3 linked regions of the Danio rerio genome follow. The protein of the gene in region 3 purifies or fractionates together with the protein of the main gene of each other region. This does not show direct contact. Links are inferred from orthologs where the notes say so. Each region holds a gene or a part of one and is shown on either strand. Other genes may lie near its edges.

Region 1 (7,459 bases), on a different chromosome or scaffold from region 3:
ACCACAGTGGAATGAACCACCAACTATTGCTGCATATGTTTTATGCAGCGGATGCCCATACACTCTGGCATTTATACATACTCATACACTACGGCCAATTTAGTTTATTTAATTCCCCTATAGCGCATGTCTTTAGGCTGTGGAGGAAATCGGAGCACCCAGAGAAAGCCCATGCGAACATGTGGAGCACATGCAAACTCCACACAGAAATGCCAACTCGTCCAACTGGGACTCGCTTGCTTTGAGGACTCGTTTGCTTGCCCCTCAATTTGAAATATTATTGCAAAATGTTTTTTAAATAATACAAATTTTATTAATTATTATAATTATTATAAGACTGCGTTAAGTATGGTGCAAAAATCATTTTTGTAGTAGTTTTTGGAATGCAAATAACTTTAAATAGAACTATTTTACATAATAAATGTGTGTGTATGTATATATTTTGTTTGTTTGTTTGTTTGTTTGTATACTTTATTGTCCCTAAATGAGAAATTTTCTGTGGACTCACACAGCGCTTCAGCAAGTTCTTACACAATAACAATTAAAATTAAGTCAACATGCAAAAGAATTACATACACTATCTATCAGTGTTCAACAGTCTGATTGACACTGGAATAAAAGAAACACCTATTAAGATAATAATTTTAAAAAATTCAAATTGTAATAGGATACATTTCGAGCGCAACGTTTACTGTTTTAAATCCGAATTGCTCTGGAGCTCATACTTTATTTAAAGAAGACACTATTTTTATGCAGATTATCCACTGAAGTGCAAAAATGTAATTTTTTTAATTAAAGCAAGTTGCGTTTCAAATTAGAGGGTAAAATCTCAAAAACTGAAATTTATTTATTGTCCTTCAGCTTAGTCTCGATTTCAACACAGCGGAATGAACCGCCAACTATCCCAGCATATGTTTTGCGCAGTGGATGCCCTTCCAGTTGTAACCCAGCACTGGAAAACACCCATTCATTCGTTCACACACACTACAGCCAATTAGTTCATTCAATTGACCTATAGTGCATGTCTTTGGGCTGTGGGGGAAATCGGAGCACTCAGAGGAAACCCACGCGAACATGTGGAGAACATGCAAACTCCACACAGAAATGTCAACTGACCCAACGGGGACTTGCTTGCTTTGAGGACTCTCTTGCTTGCCCCTTAATTTAGAATATTATTGCAAAATATTTTTTAAATGATAAAATTCATATTAATTATTATACACTGAGCCACCGTGCCGCCCTATTTCCAAATTGCTATTTTTTTTACCTTGAACAACCCATTTGTGACCATTTTTCAGAACAATTGAATCTTTTCGAATCATTTTGAAGTTTTTTGTTTTCCCTTGATCAAACTCTTTAAAAAGTATGGCATCACTGATACGATTTCAAGTAAAAATGATAATTAAAAACAGGTTTCCCGACATGAACGAAAAAAAAAGTGTAATATTGTTTGGTGGTCTTATCAAGTCTACACTTGTCTAGTTTGATTGTTGGGTTTGGAGGATCAGACTGACCCGCTGGGAAAAACAAACCAAACAGTTAAGTGGAACTGCAGCAGAACAAAACATTGTGGGCACGTGGCTTTGTTTGGGTGTCTAAACTGTGGAAACTAAATAAAACTGCAGGGTTTTATATAGAAGTGGCCTTTTCCTGTCTATGGACACAGCAGCTGTTTGAGTGTACAAACATATTGGACAATAACATACCTGAAGCTGCTGCTGCAGAGCTTTGATGATGAGCACATTGGCAGCTTCAGCATGAACACATGTGCATGTAAGAAATGTGATTTGTCTGAGCAGATATTTTAGGATCGTCTGGAGGAGTTGAAGAATGTGTGGCCACAAACTAGTCTATCGTCTGCTTGGATTGCAGGACGTCAGTCAGTGCTTTTGAGTCGTCCAGGTCCCCTGCGTGACCAACTCAACCAAATTGCCGCCCACTTACCGGCAGGAAAATGACAAGCCTTAGAAGATCACTAAGTTTCCCTCGCCGGAGAAAATGAGGGACCAAAGATGGTGAATGTTTCCTGTTGGAGTGGGCGGCAGAGAAGACGTGTCCCATTCTCCTACCCATCAGCAGGTTGGCACATCTGTCCTCCAGAGGTCAGTAGCACAGCGCCATCTATTGGATGAGGAGACACAATTCAATTAGCCTAAAATCATAGGATCTGACGATCAATATAAATACAATCTTCAAATGCCCATTTTTATGATGGACATTTGATATTTTACCTTCTGATCACTAATAGGTTTACACATACATACCATCGCATAATCGATATAATCCAATAAAATATGAAATTGAAAATAGTATACCCTAATATGCATTACGTCACTTTCCATTAGACTGGCTCCTTCGTTGTCTTTGTTTATTTTCCCCACACAAAGAAATACTTAGGAATAACTTTAAAGTCTTAATTCATGAGAAATCTCTTTTTATTGATAGGTGGTTTGTTTTTGTTTTGGACTAATTAAAAAAATTATGGCAATATTCTGGAATATGAGGAGTTTATGAGTTTATGGTATAATTTCCGTCTGCCAGCCACAACCTTCAATTGTGTTATATATAGTTTTGTCACCAAGTTCATTCACACATTTATTTTATTTTCGGCTTATTGTCTTTATTAATCCGGGGTCCCCACAGCGGAATGAACCGCCAACTTATCCAGCACGTCTTTACCTATATTTTACAGTCTATGGTCTTTACGCAGCAAATACCCTTCCAGCTGCAACCCATCTCTGGAAAACAATCACACACAATCATTCACACTCATACACTACTGACAATTTAGCTCACCCAATTCACCTGTACCACGCCTTTGGACTGTGGGTGATACCGGAGCACCCGGAGGAATATGCGAACGCAGGGAAAACATGCAAACTCCACACAGAAATGCCAACTGACCCAGCCGAGGCTCGAACCAGCGACCTTCTTGGCTGTGAGGCGACAGCACTACCTACTGCGCCGCCATGTCAAGTTATGTGAATTTATTTCAAATGTTTCTTTACTTCAATGAGGGGAAAACAATTACACCTAAACTTTTTTTTTTTGGATGGAGATTCTTTTTTTGATTAAAAAAAATGTGACAACCGACATGTCAGACGATTGTTACATTACTCTATACCTCCCAAAGATGTACATATTTCTGGGCCAATTCCTCTGACAGCATTCAATGGAAGAGAGCATGGTTATTACCTAAAAAATTCAGCATGTCCAACAAAGAGAGATACATTTTAAGATTTTCATATGTATATCCTACAAATTCCCAAATTGCTATTTATTTTGAACTATCTAATTTGTGTACTTTCTGTAATAAACATGAAGAGACTTTATTTCACTTATTCTATAGTTGCACTCAATCACTCACGTCTTTGGAATAAGATTTTTTATTTATCGTCCTTATTTAAATATGATTTAAATTTGTCTATAAAAGATATATTTCTGTATCTCTCAGGCAATGATCATGCTCTCCATCTTCTTGTTATTATTATTTGTTCCACTCTTAATATTTTTCACACAAAAATAAGTTTCTAAAGGCAGTCCCTAGATTTAATACTTTTACTTGCAGAAACTGAATCTCTTATTATTAATAATAAGAAAAATAAGTTTCCTAAAGCTTATGATAATCTTTTTTTTCTTAAAAATTGAGGCTTTGTAAAGTTTGTATTGTTTTCTGTTTGTTTGTTTTTTTGTTATTATTTTTTTCTTCAATGCAGTGATGTTATTATTCTTATATTCAATAATAATAACATCAAAAACGTTGTCTTTGTTCATATCCCATCTCAAAACCTCTCAAAATCTTTTCCCTTAACCTTTGGCACTTGATTTTATGTTTGTTTTAAATAGTGTGCATAGTGTGTACGTATATCTGACTCGTTAACTCGTTAGACTGTAACGTTACTGCACTTTGGTGGTTAAGTGCTTTATAAATAAAGTTTGAATGAAAGAATGAATGAACGTCAACCAAAAAATATAAAACGCAGACATTATTTAACTTACCTTGGTGTTTTTCAAGACAAGTCATGTCCTTCTGTACTCTGTGGAAAAAAAACAGCAGACAAAGCACACTATCTAGGCTAAGTTAACGTTACATGTTTGAAAATTCAGTTAAAACGTCGTGCTCGCTCTCGTCCATGACTATAGTTTTGATAAAACGTTTTAAAGGATGGTCATACACGACACAATCCATTAATTTCAAGTGTTCTGAGCGTATATGGTAAAAAATAAAACGCAATTTGATGTATTATTAGCGAAAATTCTGAACTCATCGACCGTTAATTTGCCATGCGCGTTCACGCACTCCGACCGCTGACGTGATTACTTTTTCAGCAAACGAAGTGTGTATTTACGTCACATGTTGTTTTTTATGACGTATTGTTTTTAACCTTCAATTTCTGAGCGAGTCGGAGAGAATTGCTACGCTAATATTATGGTGAACAACAGCAGAACATCAATTTAATGGCCAAGGTAAGGACTTTTGATTCAATATTTTGTTTTTTTGTTTCAATTAGGCCTACTTTAGGCTAATATAATTTTATATCACAGACATGTAAACACATTGGTAAACACTGAACATTCTTAAATCTAGATAAATATAGTAAAGAAGCAAAATAACTAAATTATACATGAATAGTTTTTGCTTTTAAAAGTGCTAGTAGTCTATGAACAATGCTGTTGTTTATCTTAAGTGATTGTAAGCTCACATTAAAATCACTGCTTTAGCTTCACTTTTAAAAACAATAATTAACAAAAGAAGAAATTAAAATGATTAATTTAACTGTGAGAAATATGCTACGCCATTTCCCTGACTTGACTGTCCATTTTTTTTTTATTTCAAGCATACTTTGATTCATTTCAATACACTTTTCAATACATTCAAATATTTTCTCTGCACACAAAGTATACATTTCCAAGGGAAAATACTTACTACTAACTTACAAATCCAAAAACAAATCAAACTTCCTTGATTTCAAGTTTCAGCATTTCTTTTATTGCATGAAAACGAATACGTGTACACATTACGTGTGAATATAGAGGCCAAAACTGCGGTGGTGCAACTTTAAAGTGCTTAAATAATGGACGACATCAAAAAAGACATCTTATGAGTGTTTACGTTCAGCCAGCTCACAAAACTGCATTTAAATAATACTCATGATAAAATCAAACACACAGACTTGTAATGTGCTTCAGTTGCTGGGTTTGCAATACAAACTGTCAAATCAAGCAGTCTTAGTGAGCCCTGTCAGTCAGAGTTTTTGACTTCCTCCAGGTGGTCTTTTCTGTTGATAAAGACCCCCTGTATGCGTGTGGCCCGCAGGACACTCTCTTCCCTATGGATGGTGAAGATGAACCTGCTGATGCCAGTGTTTGGACATGGAGAAAACACCTGGTTCATCTTAAGACCTGCGGGCAGACAGCACTGCAGATCCTCCACCAGATGACGCACAGATACGCGGATAAACGCCCCGTGACTGACCATCAGAGCGTGGACGGGTACGTTCTGTGCTCCATCGTCTGCCAGTCCAGCGATCACAGGCTGATCTGCTTCCGATGGCGCAGAGCTCAACGCAGAGCCGTGCTCCTCTAACATGCGCTGAAACAAGGATTTGAGGAACTTCTTGAAGCGAGTCTTTACCTGGAGAGACAAAAGCAGGATCTTCTGTGTGAGCATTTGGGTGCTGTTAGAAAATAATACTAAAATGACTAAACAAGCAATTTTGTAGGTCAGAAGCTGCTTTTAAATGTTTTCAGGAGAAATCTCACATACGCTCACCAATTTATATCAGCATTCATTCATTCTCCTTCAGCTTAGTCTCTTATTTACCAGGGGTCACCACAGCAGAATTAACCGCCAACTATTACAGCATATGCTTTATGCATTGGATTCGACAGTGGGGGAACCCGAAGCACCCAGAGGAAACCCATGCCAACACGGGGAGAACATGCAAACTTCACACAGAAATGCCAACTGGCCCAGCCGGGACTTAAACCATCGACCTTCTTGCTGTGAGGCGAGTACTATACTATTATTATAATATAGCTGCAATCACATTACTCCTTCAATACAGGCTTTTTGCGGTATTTCCTTTTACATTATTTAAAGAAAGTCATATTTCTTTTAGTTTTAGTCTTTAGTTTTAATTTAAAACTGCTGAGGTTGATATTATTAGCCCTCTTAAGAAATATGAAACATTATTATGTTTGATTGCTATGGAACATAGCACTGCTGACCAATGGCTTGCCTAATTAACCTAGTTAAGCCTTTAAATGTCACTTTAAGCTGAAAACTAGTCTATTGCAAAATATTATGTACTGTCATCATGGCAAAGAAGAAAATAAATATTTATTAAAATCAATTATGTTTAAAAATCCTTCCAAAATTACAATAAAATGTTATTATAATATGTACAATATGATTACAGTTGTTTTTTTGTATCATAATCAAAAATAAAAACACATGTGCAACTTAATATTTTTATAGAAGCTGTGATACTTTGGAAATTAAGAATTTTTACAAAACTTTTAATACAAAACTAAAATCATGATTTTCAATTCAATTCAATTCAGCTTTATTTGTATAGCGCTTTTACAATGTAGATTGTGTCAAAGCAGCTTCACATAAATGGTCATAGTAACTGGAACAGTGTGTTCCCAAAAATATTAAGCAGCAAGATTGAATAAAGACAGATTACATTTTAAAATAGAAATCCTATATTTTACATGACTATTATTATGTTAAACATTCAACTAGTAATATATTTGACAAATTTCTGTCACAACATCCAGCTGAACCTCATAAATCTACCTCATATTTCCATTTGAAATGAAGAGCGATGATATGTTTCAGGCTCATTCTAAAACGTACTGCTATTTACATTTCTGGAGAGCGCCAAATACATCCCAGCAGCAACGTTTTTTTAAACTTTTTTTTTTGTTTTCGCAACTTCACCAGAGGCCGCTGTGTATGCTTTTGCTCAAATTTCTCTCACGGGTGCAATTTGTGCCTGCTCTTCTCAAGTAAATCCACCAGAGGCCGCTTTCGACTGATTGACTCACCCACCCTCCTCCTTGCCTAAACCCAACCAATAGTGTCTTCAAAAGCACCGAATGACTTACCCACCCTTCCCTAACCCAACCGTCAGTTTTAAAATGCAATCCAAAAAAGAAAAGCCGTCGCCTGATTTTTACAACGTTTTCAGATTTTACCACATTCTTACCCTGTTATTTACTTGTTTATTTTATTAGTAGTTTCTATTTTTGTCTTACCAGCTTTCTGGAACTGTTCCTCGCCTGAGTTAAACCCCGTTGTCGTGATCAACTCCACTCTGCACCTCAACTCCACCAACGTACGCGGCAAGCTACTGGACAAACTGGTAACAGTGGGAAAGCCGTCCATACAGAGGTAAGCGGTCAGCTGGTAAGTGCGATAACGAATGGCATCATATTGCCCCATAGCATT
Region 2 (6,060 bases), on a different chromosome or scaffold from region 3:
CGAGATGTTAATGAACAATATCAGAGAACATTCTGACAATTCTGTACACTTCCAATAGACTGTGAGTGAATGCAGTTTACAGCAATGGAGAAACAATAGCCGTTAACTGTACTCACCTGCAGCTCCACAGTCAGCACAGCAGTTATTCTCTGGTAGCTTCACCAATTCTAGAAGTATCTTTTTGTTCTTTTCCCGATTTGCCATAGGCGATTTGCTTTTAAAAACATAAAGGTAACGTTATTAGTTTCTTCTCTCTTGCCTGTGACTTTGACGTGTGGAGGGTGCGGTTTCGCGGTTTACTTCAGTCACTCGGTCGCTAAAACACTCCTGTCGCGTCAGAATCGACAGTCAAATGCGCCTCTAATGTTGTGGTGCAGCGGCTTCAGCGAGGTCTTCCGCAAGCATTCAATGGGCCAAAAAAATCCCTTCGTGTTCACTTCCTGGAGAAAACAACAAACACTGAGCTGCTGCTGAAATACATGCTATTTTAATAACAGCATTGACACCGTATGGTAATATGACGTTATAAATGAGGACTGGTTGCTAATGATAGCGAATTGTACACAGTGATTGACCGCTCATAACACCAGTAACGTCTAATTAAAGGTTTAAACCATTTATACAGTGTCCTGACTACAGTATAACTTAAGTTTACTTCCTAACTACACAGCAAACAATTTTAGTGTTTAATAGATGTCAAACAGACATCTAAACGTAGACAGCTTGGCTATAAAACAAGGCTAAATTGGGCTGTCAGTGAAAATCTAATAGACATCTAAAAATAACCCAAAACTAGACTTGTAGTCAAATAGACAGACTTTATATGTGTAGTCATTCATTTCTGTTTATATGATTGTTTTGGCCTATTTTTAGATGTATATTGGATTTTCACTGACAGCCCAAGTTAAGTCTTGTTTAAGCCAAAATGACTATGTTTAGACATCTATTAGACATCTTTTAAAAACAAAAAAAATTCTGCTGGGTTGCCTAGTCTGGTTGATCAGCCTGGTTTTGGAGGGGTTTTAGCCATTTCCGGGCTAATTTTCAGCCTTGTCTTAGCTGGTCAGGCTGGGAAATTATCAGCTGAAACCAGCTTGAAAAGCCTGGTTTAAGCTGGACATAGGTGGTTTAGGCTGGGCTCAATGGCTAGCTTGACTTATCAAGCTGGTTTTAGCTGGTTATCCACCAGCCTGACCAGCTAAGACCAGGCTGAAAATGGTTGAAACCAGTCTGGAAATTGCCAAAACCCATCTAAAACCAGCTTAAACTAGCCAACCAGCCTAGGCTGGTTTAAGCTAGTTTTTTTTTTCAGCAGAGGTAGTATACAAGACAAAGCCAATGAAAATGATATTGTCATCTAGATTAATAATTAAGTGATATTACTTATAATCTAATCTTAAGTACATAGTTGCATACTAAAACCACATACAAAACATGCATGTACTGCTTTAACAGGTATAGTTATCTTCTAGAATTCAAGTAGACTATAAAACCATCCCATTTTGGAGAGGTGGAGGTGAGAGTTTGAAAAATGAGCAAGGTAAGGCCTTCACTCACACTGAATGTGCTGAAATGTATATGTTAGAGGAAAATAAATCATACACAACCTGCACACAAATTCCAGTAGCACCATCATGTTTAAAGATCTTATACAATTTACATACATATTTTGAGGAAAACATGTTTGCTGGCAAATAGCAAATCCAAATTTATTACTTGATAAAACCTTTTGAAAAATGCATGACAAATTACAAAACATAAATGATCTTCATAATGAGCAACGGCAAATTTAAAACCGTACAAAATCCATGCTATCCACACAACAACATAAAAGCACACTCCTTCTGAGTATATATTACTGTACAAATGCATATTCACAGCAGCCCTCGACCGGCTGCCTGAAGATGCATGTCATTTAAGGGAAATCGGATGCCAGGAACTCCACGGTGCTTTTAGGAAGAGTGAAGTGTATACCATCCAAATAGTGCAAGAACCTGCAAAAAAAGAACATAAATAATTGATCATTTTATGCAATAAGTGAATTTTTTTATGCAACGTGAAGAATGGGACCATTTGAAACGTCCACAAAACAAATGCTGACAAAATGTAAAAGGCTTACACTGACACAAATATAAATATGAAGAAGTGAAACAAAACCTCGTCTGTCAATTTGCGATCTCTCGTGTCATATATAAGCTTGCTAAAACCACATCCTGTCCCTTTGCCGTTTCATTTTTACAGACCTTTGCACTCTGACCAAATTGAAGTGTCGCCGTTTTCGATACACCCAGGCCAAATAAAAAAAACAAAACTGCATCAGTTAACACATTTATTTATAGGTTGTAAATATTTGCATAAAGCACTTAACCTTTATTTTTTGTTATTTGTCATTTTTAGTTTATTTTAAAGCTGTTATTTTTATATTTTTTAGTTTGCCCACTGTAAATTTAGAGTGCAATCTTTACTTGTGAAATGTGCCCAAGGGTGTTTCCCTCTGAATAAGTGGAAGTGATCTCACTTTGGGAGGGAAACAAAGAACAGAGCCACTGTGCATAAACAAGGGTGTGACATGCATTAGAGACCCCCAGCGGTGACAAAAATGTCCTGTTTTAAATTATTTAGGTCTGCCTCTGCCAGAGTTATCGATTCATCATCTGATATCATTAATGTGAGACAACAGTCATAAACTAGAAACATTTATGTCTATAAACAATTAAGAATTGGCATATAATATTGGTATAACATTTAATGATTACATATAATGCTAATGCTTAATTTCTGATGTCAAATAAGCCTACACATTCCTAAAAATATCCTGATGTACAGTATTGACAGTTAGTTTGTGTGGTCTTTGTGTCGCCCCTTCTCCACTGTGATTGGCCAGTTGGCTTAAAATGACATTGATGTGCAATGCGGTTTAAACACAAAGCCCACAGCACTTTTTGTATTATTTATAGTTCTCTAGTGATAGAAACTGAACTGAGGTTTAATAATAATAGTTTAGGAGGCTGTTTTCCTCACAAAATGCATTCATATGATCTCATAAAATAAATAAATCCCTGAAGCCAGTCATGTTTTTCATGCATTTATGGCCTTGAAAGTAGTAGTTGCGTAAGCGGTCAATGCTTGGATGGACAAACCTATCAGAATGCATGATAAATAGATTAATTTGTGTTTTAATGAGGAATAAAAGCCTTATGGGTTTAGAAGCCCATGGGTAATTAATAAAAGAATATTTATTTCTGGTCTGATCCTTTTAATATCGGAAGAAGCATTCTCCAGACTACTCTCTTGTGCCCCACATAGAAATTGAGTGAAAGCAGTTATAATTAATTATACAATATGCCTGATATAATACATCAGCAATAAGAAAATAAACCTTTGTAATACTGAAAATGAAAGTAAAAATATAAGTGTGGTTAAGTGACCTGCGTTTGATCTTTCCCTGCTCCTTCAGTCTTTCTGATCTGCAGATGGTGCGCAGACAGGGCAGGTAATCCAGAGCCACTGCTGCTCGGCTGCCCAGTGTTCCAGAAGACCTGGTGGAGAGGACTGACTTCAGCACCTCACTTCTCCTCTCCATCACTCTTTACACAACAACACAAACAGGATTACCTTTTAATCGAACGGTAAATGAAAATGAGAGATCAGAGTAATGTAATAGTCAGCAGATGCAATGATTTTTCTATTTAATTTTTAACTCTTATTAAATTGTTTTGCAATTAATGAGAAAATGCATACTAAAAAAAGTTTTTAACAAAATGTTTAACAATTTATTAAACACTAACTTTTCAGTTTTACTAACTTAAGAAAATGCATGCATAAATTCACAAGCTTGATCTTTATGTTTCATGTTTGAAGTTTTAATGATTTTTTTATTTATTATATTATTTTGGAAATATACAGCTATCAGTGTTACTGCAGGTTTCACCAAGTTCAATTTAAGACTTTTTAAAGACATTTTAAGACCGTTATGAAGGAAATGTTTTAATTACAAAGAGCTATTTTCAAATAGATTTTCACTTGCCTTATCAAACAATGATTACAATTTAATACATTTAATAATACAATAATAATAATAATATTAATAGTTTTAATATTTGTATTAATTTTCAAATAAATCCCTTCACAACCCTATAACCCTTAGCAAGAACAGAACAAAACATAGCTGTCAATTACTTCAGTCTAGAATACTAAGAATAAAAAATATAGGGTCAGTATCCTCAACAGTAAATAAATGTAGAACTTTTAAGAAAACGTTACTGTAAGAAAAGTAGTTTTAAATAAAAAGTTTTATTGAGATGGATTGTTGGTGATTGTGTGGGTGTTAATGGCCAGATTAGGTAGCTATAGATGAGCAAAGGAAAAATAAGAAAATTAAAAAAGATTTAAGATCTACAACACAACCTTTCAGTAGATTTATGACTTTTTAGGGCCTAACATTTGGCTTTTGAGATTTAAGATGTTTTAAGACTTTTTAAGACCCAGTGGATATTCTGATAAAGGCAACTTAAGACTCAGCGCTCCTTAAAAACAATCCAATAGGTGTGTACAATTGCTTGTCACTTCATCTCGCTTGTGTCTTTCTGATTTTTGAGTGTGCGCAGATTTTTTTTCAGTTAAGATGGCTTCCTGTCCTAACATGGATATCTTGGCATTGACAATGGTCAAGGTAACCGAAACAATTGCCTATTTTTCAAGAAATTTTTCTTGCTTGTCTCTTTTTGAGAGTTTACAGACTTTTTTAGTTGCTTCAATATGAAATTATTTCTTCAATGATATAGCCTAATAATCCTAACTAAATCAGCCACTAGTTGTGCAACATATAACGGGTGGGCAACATATAACGGGTAACTCATTCATTCCGAGGAACACTGCTTTGCTAATCCATTATTTTTTCCATGATGAAAAGATATATATAAATGAAATTAACCCAAAAAAAAAAATCTCATTCCTACCTTGGTTCACAAGGTGTAGTCTGTGTGAGGCTGAAGCTCTGTCTGTGTGGAGCCACGGAGAGTGTGAGCTCCTCCTCAGCTTTTCCTCTGATCTCGGCCTCCAGCTGCTGCACTCTGTCCCAGGCATCAGACACTACAGCCTTGCACTTCTTAAAACTCAAATGCTCCAAAACAGCATGCACTTCTTCAACACTAACACTATTGGCCTGCTTGACAGACTCTAACCGAATATCATCAGTCATCCCGCTCTTGATCTCTGCACTGGTCCAGCCAGAATCCTGGGGTCGGCAAAACCCCTCTGACTGCGAGGCTTGATAGTGTAGTGAGGAGTCAAGGAAGGACATGTGGTCTAAAAACTCTGCCAAACCACTCAAGCACTGCATCACTGGCTTGCTCTTCTTCTTTTCGGCTTCAGTTAACACAATACACCTTGATTTTTTGGGGGCAGCTTCAGGCACGTCGGCTGTTTCTACATTAGTGCTTTGAGCAGGATCTCTGCTGTTTTTTGGCAGTGGGAGGAAGTCTTCCTCAGACTCTGAATCAGACTGGAAAACATCTTTGTGGTTAATGCTCATCTTCTTACGCCCCTTCATTCTCGCGGACACTTTGAGAGGACTGCCGTCATCAGAGGGCTCGTCCAAACTTTCTAATCTCACAGTTTGAGGTAGTTGCTCAGGCTGGGACTGTGGAGCTGGTGCTGCTTGTGGTTTAAATGTGGACTGGGGTAAAAGACGAGTTGGCAGTGGAAGCAGACTCTCCATATTCGAATGGAGAAGATTCACTCCTCTTCTGTGGGCCTCAGAAAGAAGATCCCAGGATTTAATGCTTTCTAGATCAGAGGGTTCATGCTGTAAAATATGAAGTCTGATCAGTAACAAATTGTATAAAGCTTATATACATAAAAAGTGCTTGACAATAACTTTGTTAATGTTGCTGATCTAGTAGTTTTCTAACATTACTAGCCACAATTTTGTTGTTGGGAAAATATATGTATTTATTTGACTTTGGCATGCTAAAATGACAAAAAAATTATGTGTCTGTCCACATGCCTTCTCGTTCATTTAAGTTTTGTGTGTTGTGTATGACCTTACTCAATGAGCAT
Region 3 (6,733 bases):
ATCAATAGTGTTTAGACTTTTAAAATCACAGTTGGAATACATTGAGCCACTAAGCATTGTTCTTATGGTGTTTTTCTGCAAGAGGAAAACATAAATTACTTCCAAATACTTTAAATATAGCCTGTGTTAGTAAATTCAAGGCTGTTTATGAAATCCAGGCACAACACAGAATAACAACGTTTCAGATGACTGCTCTAGAGCCTTCACCTAATCAATCTGTCAGATTTTGGAGTGCATTACAGATCTAAAAATATTATAAATTGTAAATGATCTTACATAAAACAAATACATTTATAGACTTGATAATTAAGTATATAAGAATTTCACTAACCTATGAAATAGAGGCCATTTGAATGATTTGTGAGCACAATTAAGTAAACACAACATGCCATATTATCTGATGATTGTAGGAAATAATTCCAAAAAGCAACTGACTGTGTAAAGCCACAGAAAACAAAACAAAAATATGATGAATATGCCAAGTTCAGCAGCTAATCGGCCGGAATCAGCTGAGGTGATGAGACAGCGACTAGCGAGACCTAGCTGTCACTCAAGTGGCCACGCCCTTAATTATGCAGACTTAATATAACTCAATATAAATGAAACGATGATGAGTTATAAAAAAAAATTCACCCCCCTCACAGTTGTCATGAAGGGTAGTATTAGCTGTATACACCAAACCGTTTTTTGTATCAGGCTGTAAACACCCTTTTTTCTGCTGTAAACTTGGTTATTTTAACAGTGGGGTCAATAGAAATGTGCTCTAAAGCAGAATTTTGATGAATTTCTGTTTCTGTTACATTCATATTAGCTTCACTAGGGAGAGTGGGATGTTGCCGCTTGGTTTCAAGTTGGTGCAACTGGGGAAACCACTGTAGCTCGTGTTTTCTGTAATAAAATGATTTGTGCTTCACACTGTTTGGTTGTCATGTTTGTTGGAAATCAGGATTGACAGGATTTAGCTTTTGTATTTCAGCATCACGAAAAAACATTTGACAAAATAGTAATATTTTTTAATAGCTAAACTCACTTGAGTTTTGCATTGGGTTTACATTGAATGCATTGTTAAATGTTTCATTTAAATATCTTACCTAATGAAAGAAATACTTTTGTTATGCATTTGAATATTTCAAGGCACATCTAACATTACTTTCCATGTACCAAAATACATATATAATTACATAGATGAAAAAAATATCGCTATTATGCAGCTAAACAGTATGATTATTTTAATGTGTTAGCTTTTTTGTTTGTATGCTTGTTTTTTAATGATTATTTATATTTTTCATATTCAGTGAATCTTGGTGGGCTGCTCTTGCAGGCCTTGTTGGAGTTTTGGCCCAGAACTCATATAAACCCAATGGAAGAGGAGGAAAATGAGCTCAACCATGGTAGACATATTCACTTTTATAATGGCTTTTATTTTAAACCCTAGACTATATATTGAATCAATAATCAACATGTGCAGCTGTTCAGAATTTAAGTTTCAATAGCAATACGTTTTTTATTAGTTTTTTCTATCAATACATTTTAGTTATGCATATGTCATATTTGATGAAACTATGCTAAATCCACTGAATTCTACAAAGGATGCATATTTATTCTTGTACTCTAGTTGTGCAGTGTATTGTCTCCAGTCTAATTATTTCTGAAATTCAGATGTCTTTTTTTAAACACTACCTCTATACAGTACAGTGGTTTCTGACTAATCATCTTCTGTGTGTTTTTGTCTGCAGTAAACGGTGAACAGGAGAGTCGAATTCAAAAGGGCAATGGCTACTTCCAGGTTCCACCACACACTCCTGTGATCTTTGGTGAAGCAGGAGGGCGAACATTATTTAGGTCAGAATAACTATGATATAGTGACTATGACTTTTCAACTTGGTTGGATGGATAGATAGATAGATAGATAGATAGATAGATAGATAGATAGATAGATAGATAGATAGATAGATAGATAGATAGATAGATAGATAGATAGATAGATAGATAGATAGATAGATAGATAGATAGATAGATAGATAGATAGATAGATAGATAGATAAGACTAAGACTAAGACTACAGATAGATAAGACTATAATTTGATTTAATTTTTAAAATAATTGGACTTTTCTTTCACAGAACTTGTCTTTTTACAATCCGTTTTCACTGCAATTTTAGGTTATTATGCCGTGATTCTGGAGGAGAGACGGAGTCTATGTTACTGAATGAAACCGTACCTCAGTGGGTTATCGATATCACTGTAGATGTGAGTGTTTCAAATTTCACAATCAACTCAATAATTTGTTTTTGATTGCATGTTAAAGATTGCATATTATTTACTTTACATGTGTTTTTAAACCTTTGTGAGTTTATTTCTTTTGCACAAAAAAGAAGATAGTTTGAAGTATGCTGGTTGCTGGCACACATCAACTTTTTTGATGGTAAAAAATGACTATGTGTGCCATCTACCGGCATTTTTACCAGCAATATCATCTTCTGTGTTTGGCAGAGAAAAGAAACTCAAATAGGTTTTCAACAAGGGAAGGGTAAATGACTAAATGATTAATGAATGTGTTTTTTTATTTTTGGATGAACTATCCTAACAATGTTTCCTCCTTTCAGAAAAACATGCCAAAATTCAACAAGATCCCATTCTACCTCCAACCTCATTCATCATCTGGGGCCAAAACGCTCAAAAAGTAGGTTGTGTTTGGAAAAGGTGTTGAAATTAAAAGCACTAAGGATTATTCTACTTTTGTTTTTAAAGCTGCAGTATGTAAGTTTGACACCCAGTGACTGAACTAGGTATTACATTCTTGGATCAAAACAAAAACAAGTGCCAGGTTGCCAGATTGACCAACTGGAACGAGTCTGACAATCGAGCCTAAAGGCTGATTCAAGTCTTGTTCTAAATAAAAGCAACAGCATGCGATAGAAGTAATACTCTCCATATTAAAAGGAGTTTTTGTTCTAACCAACACCTGAAATTTTTATTTTAGAAACGGCTTAAATTACTTAAAGCTGAACTACAGAAGGCTGACAATGATGATGATTCAGCATGTACGTTTAATAATGTTAAAGAGGTTTAGTATGTATTAATTACATTATAAACCTTACCATTTCATTAGCGAGTGCATATTCAGTGTTTCTGAATGACTGTATTTAAATTTCTGTCGTGTTTTGTCTGGTGCAATCAGCCAAATTGCTTATCACTGCAAATCTCGTCACGTAACGTGTTTTGACACAGGGTTACAATGTAACCTGCTCACCTAATGTTTACTCTCGTAATATTATTTTCTAATTAATAACCTCTTGTGGAACTCTGAATCTGCATCTCATTTCGGAGTCTGCTACTGTCCACCGGAGATCGCATTTTGGTCACGGATGCATGCTTTCAGAGTCTTTTTGAATGAAATATGCTGTTTTCCACCAATGCAACCGGTGATGCTGAAATATAATTGGTTAAACTGGCATTGGGCGAGTTAAAAGAACCAAAAAAAAGACAGCCGTTCCGGCACATAACGCACGTTTTCAAAGCAGAATATCTGACTTCAGCATTGTTTTTCAGATAAACAAGAATGTTCACTTAGCATGTTTCTTAAATATCTGCAAACATATTATGGTATTTTTATACTTTAGAGGAGAAAAACTTGCATACAGCACCTTTAGTTAAACACTATTTAGACATACTATGAGTCTATTTTGAAGTGTGTTTAGGTGTTCTTGTGCGTGTTGGAAATCCTTGAATTGGATTCTGCTGTTTTTAAGGTTTGAAAAGTCTTTAGCTTTTGGATAAAGTGCTTGAAACTACTTGAAAATATAGTTATTCTGCTTTCATAATAATTAGTTCTTAAATAGGTAAATAATAATGAGTTAAATAAAATAAATATTTTTTAAGTCTGTGCGTATGCACATTTACAATGTGAGTTAATTACACTTCAGAGAGTAAATGACTAGGGGTGTAACGGTTCGCAAAAACCACTGTTCTGTTCGATACAACACAGTGGTGTCACGGTTCGGTATGTTTTCGATACAGCAAAAAAAGAAAAAAGCCTGAGGATTTCTCTGATTTTAATTTACTGGCCCTATTATTAGTTAACAATAATAACTGTACTGTGTTCTCACGGGTGGTGTCTGATATTGCACAGATGATATTGACATATAACTTATTATTTGCGTGCATTATCTTAATAGCAGTAACGGTCTTTTCATGAGCTGCAATATTAGTTTCATCTCAGTGAATGCATGCTCTTTAGCGATGGTGAACACGGTGTCAGTCGCACGATTGACAGCATCGTGATGATTAATTATGTTAGAACATCTCGTGCTTAATGTGTAGATTCAGTGGCAAACACTGTTACCTGAAAACTCTGTCCCACCGGCTTTACGGTGAATGCTTTAGTCATTTTCATAGCAGACTTTAAACACTGGAAGTCTTTTATCCACTCTTCAAAAAGTGTAAATGCTGGATTGACATTCATTACATTTGTTCCTTTGGTGGTTTCTATAACTAAATCTGTCAGTGTTATTTTCATTCTCTCGTATCCAGACCTTTACGTTTTTGCGGCTGTAGCTTCCTGTCATTGGAACTCAGCCATTGACAGCGATATTAACCAATCCATTCGCTTTCTGTTCTAGCGCAGTGGGCCAATAAGAAGAGCTTGAAGGTGGGGCAAGCATTGTGGGCTTAGTTTACTGCAACTTGACATGTCAACTGTTTTAAACCATTCCCGAGTGCTGCATTTGCTGTTTTTAGATGCTTAATGCGTGAATGCCTCCCAATTCCGCGCACGTGGTGAACATTTTGCTGTGAAAACTGGTCGCACGACATCAATTTTATGCACTCCCAAATATATTTTAACGTCGCATATATAAAATTTTGGGCGCATATGCAACCAAAACAATTAGTTGCAATTTCGAGCCCTGTCTCATATCCACAGCTTTAAATGTACCGAAAACAAAGTGTTCCCAAACGCCAGAACTGCTGTTGGTTATAGGAGGATTACATTAACAGTATACCCATTTTGCGAGCTAGTGCAGTGTTTGCCAAACCGAAAGTCTCGTACAGAACTGTTCAATACGAATACGTGCATCGTTACATCCTTATAAATGACAGTAATTCAATGTTGGGCTTGGAGAAAACATGCCATCACATTTTTTCTTAGAATACTGTACTGCACTATACTACTAAACTGTACTATATATAGTAAAGACTACTTCATTTAGTAAACCCTTTGGGAAGTTTGATAAACTAATTTTGAGAGGAACACATGATATTATTGATAGATAGACAGCTGGTCTCTCACCTGTAATCATCAATGAACCTATCAGATTAATCCAAGCCTACAATAAATAGACCATTTCACCTTACTTCTCTTACCTTCGTTTTGGAAAAATCCCCCCCTTCCACCCCATCTCCCCCTTTTCCTCCTCTACTAGAGGGAGTTCACTGGAACTACCTGCTCTTGGACCGCCTTAAATGCTAAATTACCATGTGGTAGCCCTGGGCTCAATTATCTCAGACCTCAGGCTTCTCTCCTGGGACAGCATGCCAAACCTGCCATTATTATCAAGCAATATCTAAGTGTGAACTCTTAAATGTACAATTGAGGAAGCATTTAGCGATTTAACAAGAAGAGGCAATACACGCAAGAATTACACAATGGATCTCTTCAGAGAATTAAGTGCTAGAGTTAGGAGGGAGTAGTGTTATTTTATTTATTTATTTATTTATTTATTTAAGAGAGAAGAGTGTTTCTGCAGGTGGTTTGTCAAGCCCACTTACCTGTGTGAAGCTCACTTCATAAATGCACAATGTTTTTCTATTTCTTTTCTTTTTTTAAATGTCGAGTGATCTTAAGAAACTATCAGGTGCAATTTTTTTCTACAGATAGTTTTTCAAGCCCACTCACCTGTGGGAGGCACACTCAGAATTTGCATAATGTTTTGAGGCTGTTGTGTGGTGTGGAAAGTGACAATAACACGTAGCATCAGATATATGTAGCATAGTATGTAAATATGTCATTTGCCACACCTGTAAAGTTCTGGAAATCATTTGAAAATGCATCTGGAAAGTGTTTGAAAAGTGCTTAGATTTGACTTGTTTAGTGTTTTTTTCCGAGATCAAGGTTTTGGAGATCCTAATCCCGCTCTGTTGTTTTCAGGGATCGCCTGTCAGCTAGCGACATGCTGCAGGTGCGCAAAGTGATGGAGCACGTTTATGAGAAGATCATCAACCTGGACACGGAGTCGCAGGCCACCAGCTCCTCAGCCAATGACAAGCCGGGTGAGCAGGAGAAAGAGGAGGACGTGTCGGTGATGGCTGAAGAGAAGATTGAGCTCATGTGTTTAGATCAGGTTAGACATGCTATCGGATTCTTTAATGCTTCTAGACACGAATAAAAGAATAAAATAATGTACTGATTATTTGCTGTTCAACACTCTATTTTCCCTCAGATGCTGAAACTAATGTAAATAAGGTGACAGTTGATGGTTTTTTAATTGCTTTGGGATTGTTTTCGAATTTCTTATCAGTGCAGTCCAGTTAAGGCTGATTTATACTTCTGCGTCAAACACCGGCGTATGCTACGGTGCTGACGCATAGCCCTTCGCTGTGGCCGTCGGCGTCGCTGACGTGCACCTCTCAAAAAATGTAACTACACGTCACAGCCTCTGTGATTGGTTGGCTTGGTAGTGCTGAAGAGTCTGGGAGGGACCGAGAGCCGCGTGAATGGTGCGAGCCTGATGGAG

Evidence for each region.
Region 1: the proteins of wdr48b (region 3) and rad51ap1 purify together in Homo sapiens (affinity purification with mass spectrometry; 5 studies listed by BioGRID and IntAct, counting the BioPlex papers as one, with this or other methods). This does not show direct contact. The link is inferred for Danio rerio from reciprocal best matches to the Homo sapiens genes WDR48 and RAD51AP1.
Region 2: the proteins of wdr48b (region 3) and atad5a purify together in Homo sapiens (affinity purification with western blotting; 3 studies listed by BioGRID). This does not show direct contact. The link is inferred for Danio rerio from reciprocal best matches to the Homo sapiens genes WDR48 and ATAD5.

What each region holds. Positions count from the first base shown.
Region 1 is NC_133179.1:5,638,653-5,646,111, forward strand, and holds the start of rad51ap1 (RAD51-associated protein 1), read right to left. Parts: upstream 4,344-7,459; 5' UTR 4,000-4,343; exon of another isoform or gene 3,943-3,999; intron 2,122-3,942; 5' UTR 1,945-2,121; intron 1,861-1,944; 5' UTR 1,760-1,860; coding exon 1,707-1,759; intron 1-1,706. UniProt on the Homo sapiens protein: Structure-specific DNA-binding protein involved in DNA repair by promoting RAD51-mediated homologous recombination.
Region 2 is NC_133178.1:24,998,959-25,005,018, reverse strand, and holds the end of atad5a (ATPase family AAA domain-containing protein 5), read right to left. Parts: intron 5,807-6,060; coding exon 4,959-5,806; intron 3,588-4,958; coding exon 3,429-3,587; intron 1,995-3,428; coding exon 1,916-1,994; 3' UTR 1,619-1,915; downstream 1-1,618. Other genes in the region: adap2 (arf-GAP with dual PH domain-containing protein 2), read right to left, coding at 117-204. UniProt on the Homo sapiens protein: Has an important role in DNA replication and in maintaining genome integrity during replication stress.
Region 3 is NC_133177.1:53,192,375-53,199,107, forward strand, and holds part of wdr48b (WD repeat-containing protein 48), read left to right. Parts: intron 1-1,295; coding exon 1,296-1,391; intron 1,392-1,736; coding exon 1,737-1,842; intron 1,843-2,161; coding exon 2,162-2,249; intron 2,250-2,605; coding exon 2,606-2,682; intron 2,683-6,147; coding exon 6,148-6,340; intron 6,341-6,733. UniProt on the Homo sapiens protein: Regulator of deubiquitinating complexes, which acts as a strong activator of USP1, USP12 and USP46. Enhances the USP1-mediated deubiquitination of FANCD2; USP1 being almost inactive by itself.